Linked DNA regions of Caenorhabditis elegans. The protein of the gene in region 4 binds, or shares a complex with, the protein of the main gene of each other region. Each region holds a gene or a part of one and is shown on either strand. Other genes may lie near its edges. The genes, in order: mix-1, dpy-27, smc-4 and dpy-28.

Region 1 (4,967 bases), on a different chromosome or scaffold from region 4:
TCTTAAGTTTTACCTTTTTTGTAGATTTTTTATGTATCTAAAAAGAATTATGTGTATTTGATTGAACATGTGCAAAAACAAAATTAAATGATTAATTTACAACAATAGAATTTTAGCAACATATAAATAAATGAATCCATAAATTTCGAGTAAAAATGAAGAATATCAACTGCTTTGCTCATCAAGAACTATAATCTTCTCACGAGTACATGAATCACAAGCTGGTAGCCGAATAACAATGTACGATGGCTCCTTCTGGTAGACCTTCTTATCACAAATCGGGCAACAAAAGTTCGGAGTATGTACTAGATGTGGTCCGTCGACGACAGGAGCCAACTGATACGACTTTTTCAGAACTGGAGGGCACAGATCATCGTTGGCTGATCGCTTTTGAGCAGCATTTCGAACTGAAGCCATATCCGTCCTCCGGAGCAAGACGGGCGGAGCAACTTGTTGATACTCGTGATCACTTCGGTCTCGCTGGGGTACGAGCATCTGGTCGATGGTGGCGTACGCGAATTCTCCATTCATTAATTGGATCTGAAATTTCAAAGCTTTAAAAAATATACTTTATAGAAGTTTTATGAGCATTTTTCTTCGTTTTTTCTAGAAAAGCTCTGTTTTGATCCAAAAGTTGAAAATAATTACATTTTATCGGATCAAAACAGAGCTTATCTTGCCTAATTAAACAGAAAAAGTAAAGAGTTTCTCACCTTGTACTCCGAATCGCCTCGAACATATTTGACAACCGCATCTTGAAGACGACCATCAGCTGTCCGAATTTGAACGGTTTCTCCAATTATTGGGCTTCTTGTAGATTCTAAAATAATTTGGATAATTAAAATTAGTTCAAATAAGCTTCTGAAACTCACTTCCAGCTTCCAACTGTTCATGATGATGATGGTGATAACTTGTTGATGGAGCCTGATCGTTGTATGCAGAATCTTGAGCTTTTTCTTTTCTAAAAATAATAAAAATATAGTTAAAATTCTACGTGTTGACCTACATGGGCGGTAGAGCAAGTTGCACAAGTTGATGGACATTTTCAGTGCTTAAATTGTTTAAATCAATGTTCAAATTGGCGATTTCGGAGGGGGAAACATAGAATTGCTTCTGTTTTGATGTAATATTGACTCCACCATCATTTGTCAGAATAATATGCATTGCATTATCGATTATCTGACCATTCCCATCATATTCTTCCTCCGGCCCATTTCCATCACCTTCAAATTGATTTTCAATCATTTCGTGATGAACCATGTGATGATGTGAACCATCTTCTATGACAACTTCTTCATTGTGCTCTTGCTCGTTTTGTTTCGCCTGTCGTTGTTGACTAATCGCCACCACAATGTTCAGCTGCTCTTCGGTGAGATGATTAAGCTCAAAGCCTGCTTCTACATCGAAACCCGCTTCGTACATGTCTTCCTGCGTGATTTGAACCATATTCTGAAATATAAATATTCTTTCAATTCATCGAAAAGCTTGAAATACCATAAACTGTTGATCACCATCCTCCACAATCATATCTCCTTGTTCAAGATCTTCCGGCTGCTGCTGCTGCTGCTCAACAATTTCTTCTTCATGCTTAGCACTTTCAACTCGAAGTGGGGCCTGATCCTCGTGGAAAATATGATCTTCATCGGCAGGATATACACCTTCTGGGGAGGATCTGGAAATTCCATTTATTAATTTGAAAGAAAATGTGATTTTTATTCTTACCCAGGAATTTCTTCTTCACGGCCTGTTGTTGGGCTAGCAGGATTTTCTTTTTCGGAATCCATATCTGCAACGATTTTCGTTGTTTAATAAAAATTAAAAAATAAAAATTAATAAATGACTCTAAATTATAGCGAAGGAGAAAAAACAAAGGAGAAAAAAATTACAAAAATCACAAGGCAACTTTTGCGCGTCAAATCTCATACATTCCAGTCCGCAAACACTCTCACGCCACTCTGCACACTTCTCAAAAGACGCGCCAAAAAACATTCAAAGCTCATTCGGCTTTCGAAATAAACATTTTCTCAAACTCGTTATCGACTTATAACTTATTTTTGTTCAAAATCAATTCGACAGGGTGCGCTCATAATGCACATTAAATCCATCCATCTGGATGGCTTTAAATCGTACCAAAAGCACACCGATATTCTCGATTTTTCGCCGACTTTCAACGCAATCACCGGTGAGTATAGTTTTGTGCTGAAAACTAATAGTTTGAAAAACTTTAATTTCAGCATAAAATATAGTATAATAATTGTTTTATTTCAGGATACAATGGTAGTGGAAAATCCAATATTCTCGATTCGATCTGCTTCATTATGGGAATCAATAAGCTCGATAATATCAGAGCAAGTATGTGGCTCTTTCTCATCACAAAATTATTTTGTTGTCATAGTGATACTTACGCGCTTTCGGACTGAAAAAGCACAAGATCAGAGTAGCATAATATTTCTAGCAAAGATTTTTTAAATTGAAATTTAGAAAAAAAAATTAAGTCAAATATCATTCCAGAATCAATGCACGAGCTGATTTCCCATGGTGGAACAAAAGCGATCGTCCAAGTTCGCTTCGACAACACTGATAAAAGATGCTCCCCGTTCGGAATGGAACATCTCGACGAGATCGTCGTTCAGAGAATCATCACAGCTCAAGCAACTGGAAAAGGATGTGCAACGAGTTACACACTGAATGGGCATGCGGCCACAAATGGAAAAATGCAAGATTTCTTCCGTGGCGTCGGTTTGAACGTGAATAATCCACATTTTCTCATCATGCAAGGTCGTATTACTACGGTGCTAAACATGAAGCCGGAGGAAATCCTCGGAATGGTTGAGGAAGCAGCTGGAACAAAGATGTATGATCAGAAGAAGAAAGACGCGGAGAAAACAATGTTTTTAAAAGATGCAAAACTCAAAGAAGTTGATAGAATCTTCCAATCAAGTATTGATCCGAGAATGGTAAAGTTCCGTGAAGACAGAAAGAATATGGTGGAAGTGACTCGTCTCAAGAAACTCAAAGAGAACTTTTCCCGAAAATACGAGGCGTTTCAATACTTTCAAACATGTGAAGCGGTGAAAAAAAGTGCAAAAGAGATTGAAGATGCCAAAAAGGGAATTGAAGATCTCGGTGAAAAGTTTAATCAGCTTGATCTTGACTTGAAGAATAAGGAAGATGAGAAGAAAAAGATGGAAGAATCTCGAGATGATCAACATGAAGAGGCTGCACTTTCAGCGGCTCATCTTTCGAAACAATCTATAATGCTTCAGAAGGAGACTGTCAAAAATCAATTGGTTGAAACAATCAATAAACTCAAAAAGGAAGGTGAACAAATCAACAAAAGCTTGTCAAAAGATCGTGAAGTTCTCGACGCAAAACGAAAAGAACACGAAGATTCAAAGGCGGCTAACTCGAAAGATATTCAAAGTCAATCTGATGATGAAGCTGTAAGTTCGAGAAATTATTCTAAAAATAAAGTTAAAAAAAAACAATTTCAGCTCGTCACAAAATACCGTAATGACCTCGAATCCCTAACGAGAGGAACAATTGCTAATGACAAAGGAGAACATGTGTCGATTGAGAGTGAAATACAGTCTTGCAAGTCGACTGCGTCTCAAATGTCATCTGGGATTACTGCTGCGAAGAAACGGTAACTTTCCTGAGAATTGGAACAAAAAATCTAATTTTGTTTATGTCGATAAGAATAATGACAAAAATTTTGAGATATTTTAAGAAAAATCGAAAAACAAAAAGTTTCGTTTTTTCGCTTTTTGAAAACGTCAATGATAGTTTTTTTGCGGATACTTTCAATGAAATTATTCTGTCGTTTTCTCTTCAGTTTTCTGTTTAAAAAATTTTAAACCAGTTTTATACTATTTTTACATTGAAAACTGGTTTTAAACAATTTTTAAACAGAAAAATTAACATAAAACGATAAAAAATTGACTACAAACGATGTAATTTCATTGAAAAATTGCAAAAATTGAAAGAAAACACAACATCGAAAAAATAATGCATTAATTTGGAAATTCAGTAAATTTAATGGGACAAAAGAAGAAATGTACTTTTTTAAATAGGAATATCATTGAAAAATTGGCAATTTATTTCAGCGGTGAACGTCTACACAACCAAATTAAACATTTGGAAGGCGAAAAAGCTACTCTCTCAGCCAGAAGTAAATCTGACATTGGAAGTGCCGATAATTATCAAAAAGAGGTATCAGATATTTCAATTTTTTTTTCTCCGAAAACTTAAAAATATTCAGGTCGATGAGATCAATAAGCAACTTCAATTATTGGGTTTCAATATAGATGCTGATACGGAGAAACGAGAACACGCTGCAAAATTGCATGAGAGCATCACTAAGCTCAAGGATATGGATACGAGACTTCTGAATTCATACAAGTAAGGTTTTGTGTGAAAATTCATTTTAAAAGAGTTATACCGTTTCAAAATTTAAAAAAAAAAACCTATTTTCATAATAAAACCCGAATTTTGTCAATTTTTCAGTATCGCAGCGAGCGGAACTTGGTTTTTATTCAATTATCGCCTTTTTATTGCATATTTAAATATGAAAAAAAAAAAACATATATTTTTGTAGTATATTATGCGTTTTTTTTTCGTGAATTCAGGTGCATTTTCTGCACATTTTTGGTGAAATCGACCGAAAAGCCATCAACATTAACGAAAAAACGTGCAATAAAGAGTGATAATTTACTACGAACCAAGTTCCGGCCGTTATGACACTGAAAAGTTGGTAAAATTCGAGATATTAGCTTTAAAAAATAGTTTTCTTTCGGAATTTTGAGAAAACTTTTTTTAATTTTAAAACAGTTGTTTTTCAAAAATTAATGCTTTTTTTCAGCTAAAATTTCAAATTTCGCGAATTTTTTTTCGAGAGTTTCGGCATAATCAACTGAAAAAGCACCAAAATTTAGGAAAATTGCGTGATAAACTATCACAATATGCAA
Region 2 (7,855 bases), 6.9 Mb from region 4:
CTTGTCAGCGAATTAAGAAAATGAGATAGATTGGACAGTACGTGATGCAAAGATATAGGGGTTTCACAAAATATACAACAAAATGGAAATATATTAAAAAGGGAAATAATTAAAATCACAAGGAAAAATTAAGCTAGACGAATATTAAAAAATACAAGCTTGAAAGAAAGTTGGTCTCATTTTTTGGATTTTTCACAAAGTTTTCTTTTTTTTTTCAAAATTTAGTTTAAAATATATTACTTCAATTTAATGTCTGCTTCTTCGCACACGGCGTTGAACGACAATTGGTGGTGGAGATGGAGTTGCTTCTTCGATCAATTCATCCTCTTCATCTTCCTCTTCAACTTGACGACGCGGACGTCTTCTTACTGGCTCATCGTCTTCATCTGAATCCTCAACACTTAATTCACGACGAGTTGCGGGTGGGAATCTATTAAATTCAGGAAGATCACTGTCATCATCGAGACCAAAGTCCGAGAGTTTCAGCATTTCCAGCCGGCGTTGTTTACCTGAAAATTGGTATTTGTTGAGATGGGTTTAAGTTGGACTGGTTGCTACTTTGATTTGGTATTTTACAATTAAAGTGCAGTTGATATGTCACTAATTATTACTTACGTTTTGGTGCAATAACGACATTGCTGAGCCCATTACTCAAATCAATTTCCGGTTCAATCTCGGCACGTCGTAGCTTCTCGCGCCGTTTGATCTCCTCCTCGAAAATCTTCAAAATCGGACGATTCTTGATCTCCACCGCGATCGGATCCACCATAATGTTATAAGTTTTTCCATCGATTTTATAGATACCAAGCAAGCGATTTCCGACCTCGAACATTTGATTTCGAAGCGAAATTATGATAAATTGAGCGTTCCGTGTTCGCTCGGAATGCTTGATATAGTTTGCAATCAGGCTGACATTGTTCAAGTCCAGTGCCGCATCGATTTCATCCATCACGTAGAGGGGTGTTGGACGGTAGTGGTGCATTGCAAAGACAAAGCATAAAGAGGCCAGAGTCTTCTCTCCGCCAGATAGATTCTCGATGAGCTTCCAGGATTTCTTGGCGGGACGTACACTGAACTTTATTCCACCATCGAAGGGATCGGTAGATTTTCCTTCTTCCACAAACTTCAAACTAGCATCTCCGCCATTGGTGATAAGCTGTAAGCAAATAACTTGTTTCTTTTAATCTCATTTAAAGCAATGGGTCTGACAGAAAAAATGCTTCCTGTCAGCCTGGTAGCAGGCAAGTACCCCTTACTCACCTGGTAAAGCATTTGGGTAGTAGTACCCAAGAATGCGAGCGCCTCGCTGAACTCGTTGAATCTCGCCATTCTCAACTCGTTGAGCTTCTCACGATGAGCCTTCAGCTTATCGCTAAACTTCTTCGCTGACGTCACCTCGTTCATGAGAAGCGACACAATCATCGCATAATCCCGAACACCTTTATTATCAAATTCCCGCCGGAACTTGTCAACATCTTTTTCCAGCTTGCAAATCTTGTTAGCAGTGTCCTCGAAAACATCGTCCTCAAGCATTCTCGCTTCGTGCTCTTCGTAAGCTTCACGGTGAGGTTCGATCATACTGATGCATTCATATGGGAGTACAACGTGCCTAAAAACTCAGTGATTATAAATTTGAATTTGCACATGGAAAATCTCCCAAAGCTTCTGAAACGTACCCATCAGTCATTTTGGCCGCAATATCTGGATCATTATATCTGACAAATTTGCCAGGTGGATAGAGCTTTTCCGGTTGCATCCATGCAGATTCAATAATATCAAGTTCTGCATTATCCGCCATTGTCTTGTTTTCCAAGTCATCAATGATTCTCATCAGTTCATCATAAGTCTGTTTGACCATGTTGTAGTTGTCAACTGTGGTTTGATAGGCTGCATCTGCTTCTCGGCGTGCCGCAACCGCTTCAGTGTACCTGGCTCTTTGTGCATCAATGCTGGCCTGGAAGATTAAAAATTAGAAAATAGTAAAGCTTGAATTGGTAAATTCTGAATAGCTCGAAAATGGCGAACTTCATAAGGAGACTGCTTAAAAAAGCGCAAAAATTGTTTGAATAGTGGTTTAAAATTTTGAAAAAAAATCGAAAATGTTTACTAGAACTAAGGGAGCAAGGTTGGAAACACCAAGCTAAAGCCTAAGCCTAAAAAAAGCCTAAGTTGGAGCTCAAGCCAGAACCTAAGCCTGGACCTAAGCTTGAACTGAAGTCGAAGCCTAAACATAAGCCTAACCAGAATCCTAGTCCTATAGAAATTAAACATACCGTTGAAGTTTGCAATTGCGCATTGATAATATCAATTCCCTTTACATCCTCTCCAACTTCCAATTGAGCCAATGCATCTGCCTCGCTACGTTTCTCCAGACACATATGCTCCAGCTCACTAAGCTTCTTCTCGGCCTGCTCCAAATGTGATGGATTGTTCTCAATAATTGCAGTTTGTCGTGCAATGTCCTGCTCCAGCTGTCCCATTCGATCCTTCGCCTGCTCAATTGAGTCCTTATTTTTTTGGACCAACTCCATAAACATTCGGTCCATTTTCCGTTTGTATTGCTCAATTTGCTGCTTGATTTTTGCTGAAGACTTTTGGCTCTCCTCCACTTGACGTTTCAGATCTGCAATTTGAGCTCTCTTCTCGTCCAAATCCTCAACGGTCACTTCTCTATAGTTAACCATACGGCGCTCATGTGCTGCGATTGAGCTCTGGAAATAATTAAAAAATTAGAATGGAAATTTTGAATAAAATCTAGTTTTTTTTTCGATATATCCATTTTCAAGAAAATCGGAACAGCGAAAATTTCTGTGTTTCAGTAAGAGACGCAAAAATAAATCACCTTTAACTCGGCAATCCGTGTTTTCTGCTCCTTGGTGGACATAATCAATTCACGCTTACGAATCTCGAGCTGTTTGATAATCGGACCATTGTCGGCTCGGATCTCTTCTTGCTTTAACTGCAACTTCAAATGAGCTTCCAGTGCGTGATTGTGCTTCTCCTGTGCGGCTCTTAGCTTGCTCAAATCAACTTTTTTGACTCCACTCATGTTTGGATTATTATCATTTCGAATACGACCAGTCGTCGGTTTTCCACCACCAGTCAATGCTCCACTTCGGTTCAAAATTGAGCCATTCAGTGTGCAATAACGATGCCTTCCAGGATACTTCTTATCAATTCGAGTTGCTTCTTCAAGACTGTCAACAACCAGAATGTCATGGATCAAGAAATAGAATTCGCGGCGAATCTCAGGGTTTACACAGTGAATCTTATCGAAAAGTCGTTCGGCTGGGCTGAAAATAAGAATTAATTAGATTTGGCAACTAAAGGCAACTACCAACAATTTCATTGTAGAATCCATTCCGCTAGTATCAGTATCTTTCAAGTGATCCAAGAAGACAAACGTCGTACGAGGAAGTTTGTACTCGTGGCAGAAGCCAATTCCGATTCTACATTCATCGCTAGTTTGCACAACGTGGTAATCCAATTGTGCAAAGAACACTGTTGAAATTGCGGTGTCGAACTTGATTGGGATACTTGCCAAATCTCCCTGTAAGACAATTAATTTTAAATTGGTCCTCGAAAAAAAATCAATTCGAAATCAGACTAAACGTGTGGCTTCTGAATTTGAAAGATCCTATTTAAAATGTATTTCTCCCAGAAAAATCATACTTACATGGAACATCAGATTACCCCAGGATGCTCACAGCTAATCAAATTTCAAAGCAGGTACTCACTCCCAATCGAATAACTTACCAAGCGACCTTTGAAGCCCGGAAATAATCCAGCCTCTTTCAGTTCATGAAGCTTTGCGGTTGCCTGATGACGGTACGTAACTTCCTGGGTGTTCGATGCTTCAATCACTTCTTGATCCAGCTCATACTTCTTGCTTCTCAAAAGTTGTTCGGTAGACTTCAAATGCGGAAGCTTCTCGACAGCTTTGTCAAACTTCAGCTTTCTATCTTGCAGCTCAGTTGTGACGGCGTTTAGCTCACTGGAAGGATATGGGGAATTTTTAAAAGCTGGTTAAAATAAAATAAAATAAAATAAAACTTACGTATTATCTCTAATGTTCTCAGCCATCATTGTTTGCAATGTCCCTTTAAGCTCATCAACTCTCTTCTGTCCCTGCTCCATCATTATCGTCATATCCTTAAGTTCTGATTCAGAAACGTCCAATTCTGCTTTTGCTCGCATCGATTGCAGAAGCTCATCTGAGAGTTTTTTCTCCAGATCATCATGCTTCGCTCTGTCGGCACTAGACTTCTGATCATACTTGATGAGATTCTCTGTAGCTGTCCGCTGACACACATTCTCCTGCTCCTTGAGCTGATCCCATTCGAGTTGCATGTTTTGCTTAGAGATTCTCGCATTCTCTGGAGCCGTCTCAATTTCAAACTTCTCCCGACGAGCTTCATCCCGCTCCTTCATGAGCTTCCCAAGGTCCTGAGTACACGACTTGAGCCCCTGCTTTCTCTTAGCATCACGTGCATGCCAGTCATTCTTCTTCGATTGCCAATCGATTCTTTTATTCTCCAGCTCAGTGACAATACTATTAAGGCTTCTCTCGTGAGTCTCCTTCTTCCGAACTTCATCCTTTGCCTCAAGCATGATATCCTTGTTCTCTTCGAGTTCTCCTGTTCGAGTGACAAGACTCATTTTGGCGTCCCTCATTGTTTCAGCATAACGGCACAAATTGTGCTTGACACGGATTCCACGAAGGTAGTTGAGATTATTGAAGGTATTCAGGTAGGCCATCCCGATAACCATTGCCTTTTCAAAGACTTTTAGGTGTCCCTCGTGGCGGCGAACACTGGAAATGGAAAGAATTTTAATTTGAAATTTTTTTAAGTTTCAGAAAATTAATATATTTCAAGTTGAAACCGCAAAGTTTTTTTGTTTTTTCCTAGTTCAATTTGAATTTCCATGCTTTATATTTTTATGTGGTACATCCGTGCCAAAATTTGTGGTATTTAATAATATTAAAATGAACTTACGAGGCTCCATATTGTGAACTTTTGTGCTCCAATAGAGAAACCCGATGCATTAGTTTGGAAATTGGTGCGACAAAACGATTGGTTCCAACAATATCCTCAATATATTCAAGCATTCCTTCTTCATTCGGATTTTTGGATGTTGGCTTCATTAGTGCAATCGCTTCAACTTCTCCTTGCAGAATCAGGAATCGATTATGGGTCATATCAATTCCAGCACGTAGGAGAAGCTCCTGGACGTCTTTTTGCGATGCATCTTTGTCATCAATACGATATTTTGAATTGTTTTCACGATTTATTGTGCGGGTGATGCAGACGCAATTATCTGTTAACACTTCATATTTATCGTAATTTTCGACAGGCTGAAAATTAATTTTGATATTGATAGTTATTAGTTTGTTTTCAATCGTGTGGATCTCAGGCCCGCTTTAATAACCTACTTACCATATCCTTCACCATCTGGAACATAATTGTTACTGAACATGATTCGTAGTTCCCTCCTGAATTGATCAATGCTGATAGCTTCTTGGTACGAATTTTTCCAGCCTGAAACAATGTATATTGTGGAATAAAAATTTCAATTTAAAAAACTCACTTTAAATCCAAACACGAATAGCAATGCATCAATAACGTTTGACTTTCCACTTCCATTTGGTCCCAGGATCATTGTCAAGTTCTTGTGAAACGGTCCGAGAATATGTTTTCCAGCATAACTTTTAAAGTTCTCAACGTAGATATTCAGAATTATCATTCGATTTCCATCCGGATCCGAGATCTGATCTTCATATTTTGGGGGAATTTGAACATTCAAAAGATCCTCTTTTTCATCATATTTCACACCGTTTTCAGCCGCTTCAAGTTCCAACATATACGCGCCTGAACTAACATCATCGAATATGTTGAGCTGTTCCATGTACTGTCGTCGGCGATCCACGTCGAGATCGACTTCAGGCATCGAGTCGGTGTCAGCATATGGTCTATCATCGTCCGAGGTTAGCGCCCGTCTTTTAAACGGCTGCATACCTGAAAAAAGGAATTAATTTTGATAAATATTAAAAGGGAGAGGGAGAGTAAGAGGTGCATAATTTTGCCAAAAAGGCAAAGCTTTGGAAATGTTTTGACAACTGGCAAACTTTCGACCCCTTCCAATCAAATTTTTTTGGTAATTATCAACTGACAAAATTTCTTTGAATGCCAATTGCCAACATTACCTAATCAAAAAATTTTGAAATATATATTTCATATTTAAAATTGAATCACACAGTTTACAAATTGATAACATTGAAAAAAGTCATCTAGAAATTTATTAATGTTATAGTATATTATATAGTTATCAGTATGATTTCACCTCAAATATTGAAAACTAAATTTTTAATGTTGGGGAAAAATTCAAATCGATAATTCAAACGAATTTTTTTTCCGGACTTTAGGAAAATCAGGGCACAGATAACATTGGAAACTATATATAAGTTTGTTAATTTTTTTAAGATTTAAGATTATGAAAGCTGCGCTAATTAATTTATTTGTCAAATTCAAAAAAAAAGTTAAGAAACGGTCACACACGAGCACACACCCATTTCATTGCGCGCGCGCAAGCGTATGTCTGTGTCTGTGTGTGCGAGCTGTTACTACTGCTGACCGAGTGTGGGGTTAGAGGCAGACGACGAAAGAGAACGAAGGTGAAAGTGGAAAAGAGCATGGAGAACGTGGAGACTGAGAGAAATGACAGACTCCGACTGCGGTCAAGACGATTCGGGTGAGAGAAAGAATAGTGGAATAAGAGACGGAGAGAATCCATAGCAATGGGTGGGTGGGTGATGAGCGGAATATTGTTGCGAAGAAGGTTGGGTGTACCAGACTAAGGAGCTGGAGAGATAAAGATTCTAATTATTTGAAAATTTGGCAAACGTTTCCCATTACTAGATGTACAAATCGATATGCTACAGATAGTCGATCAACGATCACGCTTTGGGAAAAGTATACGAGTTTTCAGCTGAAGAGGTCCCCAAAAAACCGAGAGGTTTTTATATGTATAATATTGAAAAAAAATCACTAGATTTTATTGATAAGAAGTAGTTTAACACGATGAGTGAAACTTGAAATTTTATATTAGATATGTATGTGAATCCAGATGGAAGCATGAAGGAAATGAGCCAAAAATTTTGTCAATTTATGTGTCTGTACGATCTCTATTGAACTTCGTCTATAATAGAACAAGTAGTTAAAGTCCTGATAGGCATTACTGTCTGCGATTACCCGTGTCTTGCTCCGTCAAATCCATTGCACCAGTTGATCCGGGCATCCTTAATGAAGAAGAGAATAGAAGAGAATTGAAGTCAGAAGACAAAAGTATAAAACTGACTAGTTTTAACAAGGTGTGAGAAACAAGAGACGGATGATTATTTTGTACTTCTCAGGTCGCCTAGGTAACAAGCACACTGGTACGGGCTGGCACGACTCCATCTTGTGATGGGTAGAAGAGGTGTGTGAGAGAAGAATATGAGCTGATCTCCTCTGTTGAGATGATAGATAAGCTTATAATTTGAGCAGTTAGTTGCGTGTAATTGAGGATTTCGTTTTTGATGTTGCAGCCAACAACGGGTCTTCTAATGGTGGGAAATGAGAGATCAAACAACGGATGGTCTTGTGAGCAAGAACATCTGCCAACATACGGTTCAGATGAGCATATTACAGAGTCACAAACCATGTAAACTTCTAGAAAGTCTGCAATCGAAAAAATGGAGGGGAACTGTAGAAGAAGAAACAGGGGTATAATTTGATGTAAAACGGATTTGGATGTAAAACGAAATTTTCAATTCCGACAAAATGGCGGTTTTCCGATTTTCCGGATATTTTCATTT
Region 3 (7,827 bases), 6.2 Mb from region 4:
TCGCTGAAATTTGGTGGGCAAAAAATTTGAGATTTTTTCCGCAAACCATGTACGTGCTGCAGAAACTTGATCAGAAAAATCCAGATGGGTTTAATTACACTGATTTTGAGGAAGAGGTTCAGGTAATAATTTAATCTTATTGTTAAACAAGGGAGAAATTTAGTACGTTTAGAAAGTGATCCCAAGGTCCTGGATACAGAACCATCATTCATTTACACTCTTGTCGCTGTTGAATGAAGAGAGCCTTTACGTGAAGTTCAACTTGATAATGCCCTCGGATTCTGAGAATATGAACAGAGTAAGCTATTATATTTTGATTGGTCAAGAAAGTAAATCAATATTTTTAAGGTGAAGGTCAACCAAGTAATTAAATTTCTCGGTTTCCATGAAATTGGAGACTGTGAGTTTTCTATGATCTATCAATATGTTAGTTCAAAGTCCGCTTCAGAATCTACATACAGCATCCACAAAGTGAGAGTTTTTTTAGTGGATTTCTTTTCAACTTCGAATTTTCAGTTCATGTGTGAAGACTTTCCGGGATGGGAGACACAATACAATAACGAAAAGAAAAGCATGGATAGGATCTTTGAGATAATTATTCAGGAGCAAAAAGTAAGAATGATTGAACATATATGAGAAAACATTTCAATGTTTTTCAGTTATTTTGGACGGAATATGATTATCATACATACAAACGCCATGCATACAAGATTGCTGTCCCGATGGTCTTCTCGCTTAACATTGTAGACAAAGCTGTTGGAGTTCGAAGTGATGCTCGCTAGCTAGTTAATGATAGCCCTGTCTTTCCCGTTCAACTCGATCTCTTTGAAAAAAATTCATTAAATCACATCAGAATCGCTCGAAAAAAAAATTTGAAGCTTTCAAGACAATCCCCAAAAAAGCATGCTCAAATCGTTATTTTGGAATCTTCAAATTTTCGGAGCATTTTTTCTTATTACGATGTTTTTTTCCTTAGCCAAATCTGTTTGTATGTATTTATCAGTTCCCGTTGATTTAATGTTTAGTTGGTAGAAATAAATATGAATAAAGTTTTAAGTTTCAATGTTTCGCAGTTGAAGAATTCGTAGAATCCACAATCCATCCTCCAAAATCGGGAGTTATTTTGTCAATGGCCAGTGTGAAGAAGCACGGAGTTTCAGCCGGATGAAGAGATCGAACACGCTGAAATTGAATGAAAATCTTAGTGATCCGAAATAAAAACATACAGCTGATAGCTCTTCGACTTTGCTTTCTACAGTTTTCAAGATCACGACATGCTCTTGATCTTCTTCAATTTTTCCTTGCCATTTGTATCTGAATATCTGGATTCTCGCACAGATTTAAAAAAGATAAAATACTTACACAGATGTGACTTCCGGAATAACATTGGCGCAAGCGGCTAATGCTTCAGTGACAGTTGTTCTGAAATGAAATTATGTTTTGGTAGACAGAAAACAAAAAAATACCTTGCCACAGTCATTGCAACTTCCTTACTCGGAGCTGTCACATACGCGACAACCATTTTTACAGCGGGTGTTGTCATTTTTATTTGAAAACTTATTTTATGTTGAAGCAATTCAGAAATGTTTAATTAATTACCGTACTTCATTCTAGCTCTCGTCGTATAATTAAATGTATGGGTCGCACTTGCGCGTCACGGTGTTTGCACACACTTGTATGCGCGCCAAAATTTTGTTCGAATTTCACCGCCAATAATTGTTTAGCCGCTGCTGTCCCACTTTTTGTTTTTGTTGGGAAATGTCTTTTTCATATTAAGCACTCAAATCCTAAAAATCAACGTATTTTAGGGTTGATGCCTCCGAAGACTTCGGCGGCGCCGCCACAATCAGACGAATCTGATTCTGATTTTGATGACGCTCCTGTTAAAAAGCCGCAGAAAAAGACAACGAAGCCTGTGAACCGACACAAGGAAGGATCAAAGGACCCGGAAGAAGAACTACAGGTATCCCTCTCAGAATATTTAAAAGCAGCAATAAAACTGAAATTTTTATTCAGAGAGCGGTAAATGAAAAATTTGATGGAAGCGACGGAGAGGACGACGACAGTGATCTTTTCTCATTGGTATGTTACTCTGTTTTTAATATTAAAGTCATTACATTTTACAGCAACTGCCATCGCGACCCGATTTCCTTACAAAACCGAATCGGGCGGATCGTTTGATGATTCGCAATGTTGAAGTGGACAATTTCAAGAGTTACTTCGGCAAGGCTTCCATTGGACCATTTCACAAAAGTTTCACATCAATTATCGGTCCAAATGGATCTGGAAAGTCTAATTTAATCGATTCGCTCTTATTCGTTTTCGGTTTCCGTGCTTCCAAAATTCGTTCTGCAAAAGTGTCAAATTTGATTCACAAAAGTGCTGGAAGAAATCCAGACAAATGCACAGTCACTATTCATTTTCAGCGGATCGTCGATATTGTAAGTGAATCAGAGAATCTAATAAAATATAAATTTGCTTTTTTTCAGCCTGGGCATTACGAAGTCGTCAAGGATTCTGAGTTCACAATCTCTAGAACTGCTTTTCAAAATAACTCAAGCTCATATGCTATCGATGGTCGACCGGCAACGAAGAATGAAGTTGAAGCACGCCTACGACGCGTTGACATTGATATTGAGCATAATCGTTTTCTAATTCTTCAGGTAAAAGTGACAATAAAACCGGTAATAAACATTTTTTTCAGGGAGAAGTCGAACAAATTGCAATGATGAAACCAGTGAAAACCACCAAAAGTGAAACTGGAATGGTTGAATATTTGGAGGATATTATCGGAACAAACCGACTCGAGCCCTTTGTTAAATTATTCCAGCGACGCGTCAATCGTCTTACTTGTGATCTTTCTCAACAAAGAATCGCTCGTGATCACGCCAGAAACAGCAAAGTAGCTATGGAGAATCCAGTTAGAGCTGCAATTGAGTTTCTGATGAAAGAAAACGAGGCTACAACGATTCATATGAAATTGGAGCAAAGAAGACGGTAGTTCTGAAATATTCCAGGTTAAAATAACATTTAACGTTTTAAGGCAACGATACCTAGATAAAATTGCTCCAAAACAAGCCGAACTTGACAAGATGAAAGAAGAAATGAAATCGATTGCTGAAACGCTGGATACCAACAAAAACGAATACAAACAATCTGAGGAAGCTCAGAAAGTTATGATTGAAGAGCGTTCGAAACTCGACAAAAACTTTGATAGTCTATCTAAGGAATTGAGCGACTTGGGCACTGAAGAGACTCGCAGGAAGGAGGCTTTGAAAAGGCATCAAGCTAATATTTCAAAGGCGGAAGCTGAGAAGGAAAAAGAGGTTAAAAAGCGATCAAATCTGGAAGCAGCACCCGAAAAGGCGGAGAGAAAAATCGCAAAATGTCAGGAAGAAGTGGAACAGTTGCTTGAAATAGAGAAAACAGCTAACGAGGAAGCCGACAAGAATCTTGATGAATTTGAAAAACGCTCTGAAGCGCCAAAAGAAGAACAAAAGAAGATTCAAGAGACTTGGGCGCAGAAGAGCAACGAATTTAACAAAGTTCGAGGTGAAGCAAGGATTGCACGGGAAGATTTCGAGGATTTAAAGAAGCTCGCGAATTCTGGAACGGATAAGCTTATCGAACTGAAGAAACGATTAGAATCTTCAGAAGAAAGTTATGCGAAAGAGAAGGATGAGTTAGATAAGCTGAAGCCGGAATTTGATTCTTGGAATGATAAGTTAAAACAACTGAGTACAGAATTGCCAACTCTTCGAAATACGGCAAGACAGAAGAATCAAGATGTAGGTTTTCAAAAAGCCTGATAAATTTAAATAAATCCTATTTTACAGTTGGCAAAAACGCGTGATCGTCTCGAAACTCTTCGCCAGCAAAACTCGTCTTGCTCAAGTTCGAATAAAGTTATTCAAGCCTTAATGAAGGAAAAAGAAGCTGGAAGAATTAAAAGTTTTCACGGTCGTCTTGGTGATCTCGGTGTCATTGATCCGAAATATGAGGGAGCGATTTGCACAAATTTCGGGGCCCGTCTCAACTATCTTATTGTAGGGAAAGAAGAAGATGCAAAAAATGTCATCAATTTTTTAGTTGCTGTAAGTTTTATAACCCTCATTTTCTAGGAATACATTGGTTTTCAGAATAAATTACCTCGACAAACTGTTCAGCCATTGGACAAAATTAAGTGTGATAAGAGAGATTTAGCTCCCAATCCGACGAACCCATTACCTGCTCCTCGTCTTATTGATCTGATTGATTGTGATCCTGTTCTTAAACCAGCATTCTATGATATGGTGCGTAGTGCAATTGTGGGCGATTCTACCCAGGAAGCTCAGCGAATGCATAGAATGCCCGCTTGTCGTGGTGTTACCGTGTGCACACTAGAAGGTTCTATGATTCACCCATCTGGATCATTCACAGGAGGTGGAAAAACAGTGAAAGGTCTCATTCTCACGGATAAAAATAAGATGGCTAAACAAGTGACACCTGAAGATAAAGCCGCTGAACGAGATTTAGCTGAAAAACTTGGAAAATTGAGAGATGAAGCTGATGAACTTAAAGGACAAGAGCATGAAGTAAGATATTAAAGGATAAAAATATAAAATATAACAAACCGATTTTTAGATGGACGGACAGCTAATCGAAGCACGTCGCAAAGTCGCTGAAATGAGTAATCGTTTGTCTATTGTGACTTCTTCAGTTCAATCTGCAGCTCCAGCAATTGAAACCCTCAAGAAAACGATCGCAAATCAAGAAAAAGAAGCAGCGAAAGTTAAGGTGGATGCGAAGACATTAGAAGATAAACAGAAGATTGTTGAGGAGCTCGAAAAAAGTAATTTTCCGTCATATCATCATGATTTGGGTAATATATTTCATTTCAGAACGAGATGAGTTGGGCGAAGAAGCTGCGAAAGTAAAAGCTCGTCAAGCTGAAATTCAGAGTAAGCTTGACGGAATCTTCAAGGAACTTGTACAATGTCATCGAGACGAAGCCAAAGAGTCTCTTCAGAAACGTCAAAAACTTGAGAAGGATATCGCCAAAGAAACTGCAAATATTTCCAATTCGGGCAGAAACATTGCAAAGTGCGATGAGAACATTTCCAGACACGATAAAGACATTGAGAAGATGAAGAAAAAGTGCGAAGAATTGATGGAGAAAGCAATCGATGATGAGGAAGTGAAATCGAAGAAAGAAACGGTTGAGCGCTTTGAAAAGCAAATCAAGAAGTTACAGACAAAAGGAGAGGAAATGACGAAGAAACAATCGGAATTGTCAGCTGCAGAGACGAAATTGGAGGGAGAATTGAAAAAGTGCAGTGAGGGAATAAAGGAGTTGAAGGAAAGTATGTTGGCAGATCGATTAAAGGTTGAGGATATTGAAAAGAAGGTTTGTTATTAATAAAAATCTATTAAATTAAATGTTCTTTTTTTACAGCTCGCTGCTTTGAAAGTTAATCGAATCCCACGATTCCAATTTCTCATCGAATCAAGTCGGCCAGAAGATCTCGAAATGCAAATCGATGATAAAATGCCGGTGGTTGATGAAAATCAGAGTCCAGAAGAAGTTGAACGACAAAAGAAGCATATGGCCTGCGTGATGAGTGACGCCGCGTACGCTCTCGAGTTCGAAATGCGACAGAAAGTGTTGGAAAACACTGAATCGTATGAGAATGTCGACGGAGAGGACCGGGTACCGGTCGAGCTTCTGTCCGACGAGAAAATCAACGAGATTTCGAGCCGAGACGCTGAAGAAATGCAAATGAAGCTGAAAGTGTGTGAACAACAAGTGGAAGCATTGAAAGCTAAAGTTGATATCTCATCGATTAAAGCTTATGTTGATAAGGTCAAGCAATACAATGAACAAGTGATCAAGTTGACAATAGCCACAGAAGTACATCGAAAACATAATCAAGAACTTCAACGAATCAAGCAGATGCGACTTGAAGAATTCCATGTAAGAAATCAGACGTTGATAGGTTTCTGATTAATTTTTAAAAAATATTTCAGTCTGCATTCGAATTCATTGGAAAACATTTGGTTGCCGTTTTCAAAATGCTAACTGACGGAGGAGATGCCAAATTGGAATACATTGATAAAGACGATCCATTCCGACAAGGAATCAGTTTTATGGTTCGCCCAGCGAAGAAAGCTTGGAAGCAAATTCAATTCCTTTCGGGTGGAGAGAAGACATTGTCCTCATTGGCTCTCATTTTTGCGCTCCACATGTTCAGGTACTAAATACTTTCTTTAATAATTATTATAATCCCTCGTTTAGACCTACTCCATTCTACGTTATGGACGAAATCGATGCTGCTCTCGACTATCGTAACGTTTCGATTATTGCCCAATACGTCCGACAAAAGACTGAAAACGCGCAGTTTATTATTATTTCTTTGAGAAATAATATGTTTGAACTCGCCAATCGTCTCGTTGGTATCTATAAAGTTGATGGGTGTACTCGTAATGTAGCCATTGATCCATTGAGAGTTTGTGAGATGGCGAAGCAAATTACGGACAGTTTGGGGCAGGCCACGTGTACTCTTCCTGATGAAGTAACTCAACGATTCAATGAGACAATGAGTCGGCAGAATAAGGAAATGATTGCACAAGAAAAACAATATCCGAACTTCCCATCATCAAATGAGATTTCAAAGGCCGAAAAGATTGTTAACGTTGAAGGACGTGTCAGGAAAGAATTGATTCAAACTACCCGAGATGTCACTTCAAGACCACAATCCAAAGCAACGACAAGTGGCGATGGAACTGAAAGACCGGCTAGTCGGTCAGCAAGTCGACCCGAATCTCGTATAAATCGTAAGACCAATGGCGTATTTATTATGAAAATGAAACAACTTATTTTTAGAAATGAAATATCCTGCTCCACGCCTTGTCGAAAGATCGTCGTCACAGAATGTTCGTAGCCCGAGAAAGGCACGAAACATAGAGGCCGATGAGGTTAGTTTCATTAAAAAATTTGAGACTCATTTTATTTCCCATTTTCAGACTACTCCACCTTCAAAGCGTTCAAATTCCGCAAGTACACCAAAACGATCTCCAATGAAACCGTTGACACCGTCGAGTAAAAAGAAGGAGAAGGCAATCGTTGATGACGATGATGATATGGAATAATTCATTCAAAAAAGTTCTATCCTCTTTTGTTTTGACGGGTATTAGTTCTCTGATCCCTCGACTCTTCCGTTTATTATTATTTTAAACTCGCGCAAATGATACTCATGTGCAATTCTTTAACCTCTCCCTGTTCAAGAAATCTCTCCCTTTTCCTTTTTATTTATTCTTATTCTCAATTATATTTAATTTGAGGGCCAAAGTTTGAGCCATTTTGCGTTGTATTTTTTTTTCGGCTCCAAACTGTAATTTAATGATATAATTGAGCTATGTGTCTTTTCGTTTGAAATAAGAACGTTTATCGGTGAAGCGTTGACTAGTATATCCCTCATGGTTAATCTGATTCAGATTTCCATTTTCACTATTTATTTTGTGGATTTTCACTGTAACTCGTGTTATGCATGTAATTTCAGATATGTCTACTTCTTCACATACCGTACTTCTGATTCAAACATCACCACGTCTTGATTCACGGACTTGGGGAGATTATGAGAGTGTAACTGACGCTCTTGATGGTAACCATTCCGTGAGAATTATTATGTTTAATGGAATTTTTCAGCTCTTTGCAAGATGTTTGAAGATTTCCTTTCCAAGAAATCAGCTGCTCCAGTCACATACGACGTGTCGCAAGTCTACGAGTTTCTCGATAAGCTCTCCGATGTTTCTATGATGATCTTCAATCGCGTATGTATTATTGATCTG
Region 4 (4,593 bases):
CTGAACGAAGGCAATACGAAGAACCATTTGATCAAGTCAGTGAACGAACCATCTCGATTTGTTCGACAGGACACGGTGAATCACTTGTGAAAGCCGATTTCTGCAGGGGTATCGCCACGAGAGTGCTGTAAGTTTGGGAAATTATTGAAAATTTGGAGATTTTGCGCGCACTGGATCATTTTCCGTAGAAATAACTTAAAACTGAGCAGTTTTAGATGTAAATCAGCATGAAAATCCACAATTTTGATGATTTTTGAATCTTTTTTCGAACAATTAGCACAAAAATCTATAATTTTTGGAAATTCTGACCAGTTTTCTTTTTAAAAAAGTTGCTTAAAATTCGGGGATTTTGCGCGTTCAGGACCATTTTCTGTAGAAATTGCATAAATTGGGACGTTTTTAGCGATTACAATTTTACAAAGGCAATTTTCTCTCAAAATTAGCACAAAAATCCACAATTTCCTATCTATTTTCTGCAAAAAATAGCTCAAAATTCGAGATTTTCATATATTTGTGATCTGAAACAAACTGCAAATCCAAGTTTTTTACCGTTTTTCTTGAAAATGTAGCACAAAAATGTAATTTTTGACTGTTTCTAAACTTTTTTCTCTTAAAATCGGCAAACAATTGATAAATTAACAATTTTTAAATTATTTCCCTTACAAATAGCTTTAAAAATTGTAAAAAAAAGAAAATTTAATATTAAAAAAGATTTTACGACTAAAAAAAAAGAGATAAATCGCTGCGAGACCCTAGTTACCATAACAACAACGCATCAATTTTGTTTCTTTCAGAGACGACGAGGAGGGTATCATGTACAGTGAGATTATTCGAGAATTCATACACGAAAAAATGGAACAGTAAGTAGATTTATTATTCCATTCAGAGCAGCATATTTATATTTAAATAATTGAAAAATTGAACATCGAAAGTTCGAAAAAAATGAAATTTTTCATAAAATTTTGTATCTGTTGATGAAAAAACATAATAAAGCTTTATATATATATTTTTCGAAAAATCGAAAAATTGATTTTTTTTGCAGTGGATCCCGATACGGTGGCATCGCATTGATCGCCGACAAATTCAAAGATCGAATGTCGCTGGAATTTCTGATTTTCCATAATTGTCGATATCTTCCGGCTGCAGTTCGTTGTCGAGACAATCAGATTCGTGTTTTTGAATCACAATTCGATCCGGATCAATGTACTACTGATCCTAAATGTGTTATCGAGTCATTCATCATGTAATAATATGTATATGATATCAAGAATTCCGCGTTTAAAACTTAGAAAAATCTGGAAATTGTGTTTTTTTTTCGGAATTTTCCGGGGTTTGAATGCGGAAATATACAAAACAACTCCCCCACTCCATCCGATTTCTCTCTCAATCCTCCGCTGAAGAATATTTTATGATTTGAAATTAAAATGAAATGAAGAATTTTGTAAATATTTTAATTTTTAAACTTTTAATTGTTTTTTCTTTTATTGAATTTATTCTAGTGCTCACTTGCTCGCTTAGAAATATCACTGATTTGTTATTATTTTTTAAAAACTAATTTCCCCCTTCTACAGGCTTTTCCCCTAACAAATGCCGAGAAAACAACGCGTTGTCACTACACCGTCACCACCGACTTCAGATGAAGATGAGGATATGGATTTTGGCTCGACGAGCCAGCAACAGCAGCAGCAGCCGACACGGAATAATGATGGATTGAGGTTGAGAATTTCAGTTGGAAAATTATAGATTTTTCAGTTTTTTTTTTCGTGAGAAAAATCAGATTTCGTGCACAATTTTCACATAAAAAACTAAAAAAATCAGTTTAAAATTCGATAAAAAACTTAATTTTTTCCGATAATTTCAAAAAAAAAAATTTAATATCAAATTTCAAAAATTTCAATTAAACTCCAGATTTAGATATATTTTTCTCAATTTTTACTGAAATTTCTCTGCAAATTGCAATAATTTCGATGCTTTCTTCACTGAAAAACCCATAATTTTCATTTAATTTCATTTAAAACTAATATATAATTTTTTACAGAACCTTTTATGGAATTTTCTAGAAAAAAAAGTAAAATAAAGAATTTTTCCTGTGAAGTTTAATAAATATGCACCGTTTTCTAGAAAAAAAAGAAAAACCATGGATTTTTCCGTTTTTTTTTTTGAAATTCATTTCAAAAACCGAAAAATCAGTTTTTTTTCCATTTTTCCTCAATCAAAAATAATTTTTTTAAATTTCCACAGAAAATGCAGAAGTAAATCGGAATTTTTTAAAACAAAATATGAAAAAAAAATCACAAATTTCTTCAAATTTCTCCTGAAAAACCGAGAAAAAGGCTGTTTTTTTCCTGTCAAAAACTCTAAATTTTCAAATTTTTTTTTTCAGTGGCTTCAAAAGTATCACGGAAATCATCGCCGAAGCTGACAATAATATTCCATCCGAACAAATCGATAAGGATATCGACAGTTTCTCTTCATATTCGGATATTTCTGATTGGAGAGGAATTCCAAAGTTCTTTCCATCGTTGAGCTCACTTTCACGGCGAGCTTCTACTTATGAGAATTGGGAAAATCGATTCAAAGTCGTCGATTATCTCGTTTCTTGTGCGTTTTTTGGTGGAATTTTGGAAGTATAAAATATTGCTCTAAAACCCGATTTTGAAGAGAATTTTTTTTAATTTAAAAAACCACGAAAAAGTTCAAATTTGCTATATTTTAAGAGGAAAAAAGTGCCCAAAACTCATTGATAATTTCCTGAAAAAGCAGAAAAATCGACAGTTTTCTCAATTTTTCTCAGACCAAAAAATTGAAAAATTTTGATTAGAAAAAAAAGATTTTTCGGTTTTTTTTTGTTGGAAAAAATAAAAAATTTCAAAAAAAAAGTAAAATGTTTAAAAATTTCGAAAAAAAATTGAAAATTGAAAAACCTAGAAATTTGTACATGCATATTTAGTTGAAAAATACCTCAATTTTTAAAAAGCTTCTAGAAATTTTTTTAAAAAGTAAATTTCCTCCTGTTTTTCCTCCGATTTTCGAAAAATTCAAAAATTTTCGCTGAAAAATTGTTTTTTTTCGGAGAAAATCTTTGAAAAACTTTGATTTTTCATAGAAAACATTACTTTTATTGTTTTAGACAATTTTCTCAATTTTTCGACAGAAGAATTGAAAATTTTTGTTTCAAAAAACTATTTTTCGGTTTTTTTTGTTGGAAAAAATAATAAAAAAATCAGAAAATTCTCAAAAAATATAGGACCTTTAAAAGCGGCAATTGTCTAAAAATTTCAAAGATAAACAGTTGAAAACTGCCGGATTTGCCTGATTTTTTCCGGTCATTTTCAACTTTCAGACAATTTTTTTCGCTGTTTTTAGTTGTTCAAAGTCGAATTAAAAAAAAATAATAATTATTTTCAAATGCAGATAATATATTTTCCACTTCAAAACCCCGCAAAATTTTGCAGGTTCCGGAGCTCTAAAAGACTCTGTAAGCGACTACGTGGCCGATTATTTCGAAAAAAATGAATCTGGAGAAGATCATAGTGTCGATGTGGAATTGGTGCATGCAGTCAGTATGTTTGTAATTCTTACTCAACGATTGACTGTTCAACTTCAATTATACGTATCAAAATCGATAGCATCAGCCAATCAACAGGCGAAACGTGGTACTGGAAGAGGTGGTCGTCAAGTTGATTTAGATGATGATATTGTCAAGTGGAAGGATATTCAGAGACATCGGGTAATTATAGTTTTCCAGGAAAAATAAATTGTAAATTTATAGATTTTTTAGAAGAAAAAACATTAAAAAAAAACGCAAAAATTCATGTGTCTTCGAGAAATTTTAGGTTTTTCAGAGATAATAGAAAATCCAAAATCGAAAAAAAAAGTTTGTAAAATAAATAAAAAAATCAATTTTCTTCTTAAAAAAAAAAGAAAACTCAGATTTTTTTAACTCCCAAATTTTCGATTTTCCGATTTCATTTTGAAAAAAATCGAAAAAAAAAACAACTACTGTAATCCTTAAAGGCTCACGTCCTTTTACTATAAAATCGGTCGTGCCAAGACCCGTTTAGTGAAAATTTCGCAAAATATCGCATCTGGGAAATATAAATATATAAAATTTCGTGTTTTCTGGTCAAAGCCCCCCGAAATCTGTATAGAAAAGAGCTCTTCCATCTAAAAAATTGAGTTTTTGAAATTATTATTTAGTTTCTAGAAAAAAGCTCCAAACTCTGAATATTTCTATATTTAATGCCATAAATATTTAAAAAAAAATTTCATATAGTTTTTTCTGCTGAAAGGATTTTTTTTTGGATTTTAATATCAATATAATATAATCAGATTTGTTAATCCATTTTAAAAATATTATTTGCAAAATTTTCAAAATTCAGATGATCAACTGCCTGCTGGAATTACTTGAACTTCGTGTCGACACCGTTGCCGGAACCAAGAAAAAGGCGATTCAATACGTTTTTGCGCCGGATGTCATGGAAAAGGACTTTTTGCTTCGCTTCCTTGACACAGTTGTCCAATTGCTTGAAGATCCCGAGAATATGGCTCGTTCCAGTCAACAATGGATTTCTCATTATTTCAGAATTCTGA

The links.
Region 1: dpy-28 (region 4) and mix-1 share a complex: the UniProt entries of both Caenorhabditis elegans proteins name them as parts of the condensin I complex.
Region 2: dpy-28 (region 4) and dpy-27 share a complex: the UniProt entries of both Caenorhabditis elegans proteins name them as parts of the dosage compensation complex.
Region 3: dpy-28 (region 4) and smc-4 share a complex: the UniProt entries of both Caenorhabditis elegans proteins name them as parts of the condensin I complex.

The regions. Positions count from the first base shown.
Region 1 is NC_003280.10:10,822,296-10,827,262, forward strand, and holds the start of mix-1 (Mitotic chromosome and X-chromosome-associated protein mix-1), read left to right. Parts: upstream 1-1,950; 5' UTR 1,951-2,088; coding exon 2,089-2,182; intron 2,183-2,268; coding exon 2,269-2,352; intron 2,353-2,511; coding exon 2,512-3,443; intron 3,444-3,494; coding exon 3,495-3,646; intron 3,647-4,106; coding exon 4,107-4,212; intron 4,213-4,261; coding exon 4,262-4,401; intron 4,402-4,967. Other genes in the region: R06F6.12 (uncharacterized protein), read right to left, coding at 166-540, 714-820, 873-961, 1,007-1,449, 1,495-1,672, 1,723-1,784. UniProt on the Caenorhabditis elegans protein: Essential protein required for both chromosome condensation and segregation and X-chromosome dosage compensation depending on its binding partners.
Region 2 is NC_003281.10:3,813,663-3,821,517, forward strand, and holds the start of dpy-27 (Chromosome condensation protein dpy-27), read right to left. Parts: upstream 6,018-7,855; 5' UTR 6,016-6,017; coding exon 5,590-6,015; intron 5,541-5,589; coding exon 5,439-5,540; intron 5,357-5,438; coding exon 4,998-5,356; intron 4,814-4,997; coding exon 4,058-4,813; intron 3,995-4,057; coding exon 3,757-3,994; intron 3,551-3,756; coding exon 3,342-3,550; intron 3,294-3,341; coding exon 2,843-3,293; intron 2,712-2,842; coding exon 2,274-2,711; intron 1,955-2,273; coding exon 1,677-1,954; intron 1,610-1,676; coding exon 1,261-1,609; intron 1,157-1,260; coding exon 616-1,156; intron 510-615; coding exon 247-509; 3' UTR 1-246. UniProt on the Caenorhabditis elegans protein: Central component of the condensin I-like dosage compensation complex that associates specifically with hermaphrodite X chromosomes to reduce their gene transcription throughout development.
Region 3 is NC_003281.10:4,585,693-4,593,519, forward strand, and holds smc-4 (Structural maintenance of chromosomes protein 4), read left to right. Parts: upstream 1-1,808; 5' UTR 1,809-1,813; coding exon 1,814-1,963; intron 1,964-2,016; coding exon 2,017-2,082; intron 2,083-2,126; coding exon 2,127-2,441; intron 2,442-2,489; coding exon 2,490-2,663; intron 2,664-2,704; coding exon 2,705-2,997; intron 2,998-3,043; coding exon 3,044-3,788; intron 3,789-3,836; coding exon 3,837-4,094; intron 4,095-4,139; coding exon 4,140-4,574; intron 4,575-4,623; coding exon 4,624-4,831; intron 4,832-4,880; coding exon 4,881-5,386; intron 5,387-5,434; coding exon 5,435-5,953; intron 5,954-6,006; coding exon 6,007-6,230; intron 6,231-6,274; coding exon 6,275-6,813; intron 6,814-6,862; coding exon 6,863-6,954; intron 6,955-7,002; coding exon 7,003-7,128; 3' UTR 7,129-7,432; downstream 7,433-7,827. Other genes in the region: F35G12.5 (SPK domain-containing protein), read left to right, coding at 1-122, 173-298, 349-471, 517-612, 660-782; F35G12.7 (Divalent-cation tolerance protein CutA), read right to left, coding at 1,060-1,182, 1,227-1,314, 1,363-1,422, 1,467-1,543; erh-2 (Enhancer of rudimentary homolog 2), read left to right, coding at 7,541-7,640, 7,685-7,809. UniProt on the Caenorhabditis elegans protein: Central component of the condensin I complex, a complex required for conversion of interphase chromatin into mitotic-like condense chromosomes. The condensin I complex introduces positive supercoils into relaxed DNA in the presence of type I topoisomerases.
Region 4 is NC_003281.10:10,761,560-10,766,152, forward strand, and holds the start of dpy-28 (Condensin complex subunit 1), read left to right. Parts: upstream 1-1,571; 5' UTR 1,572-1,587; coding exon 1,588-1,715; intron 1,716-2,383; coding exon 2,384-2,601; intron 2,602-3,455; coding exon 3,456-3,730; intron 3,731-4,382; coding exon 4,383-4,593. Other genes in the region: tasp-1 (TASPase homolog), read left to right, coding at 1-127, 795-860, 1,043-1,247. UniProt on the Caenorhabditis elegans protein: Required for both chromosome condensation and segregation during mitosis and meiosis and X-chromosome dosage compensation depending on its binding partners.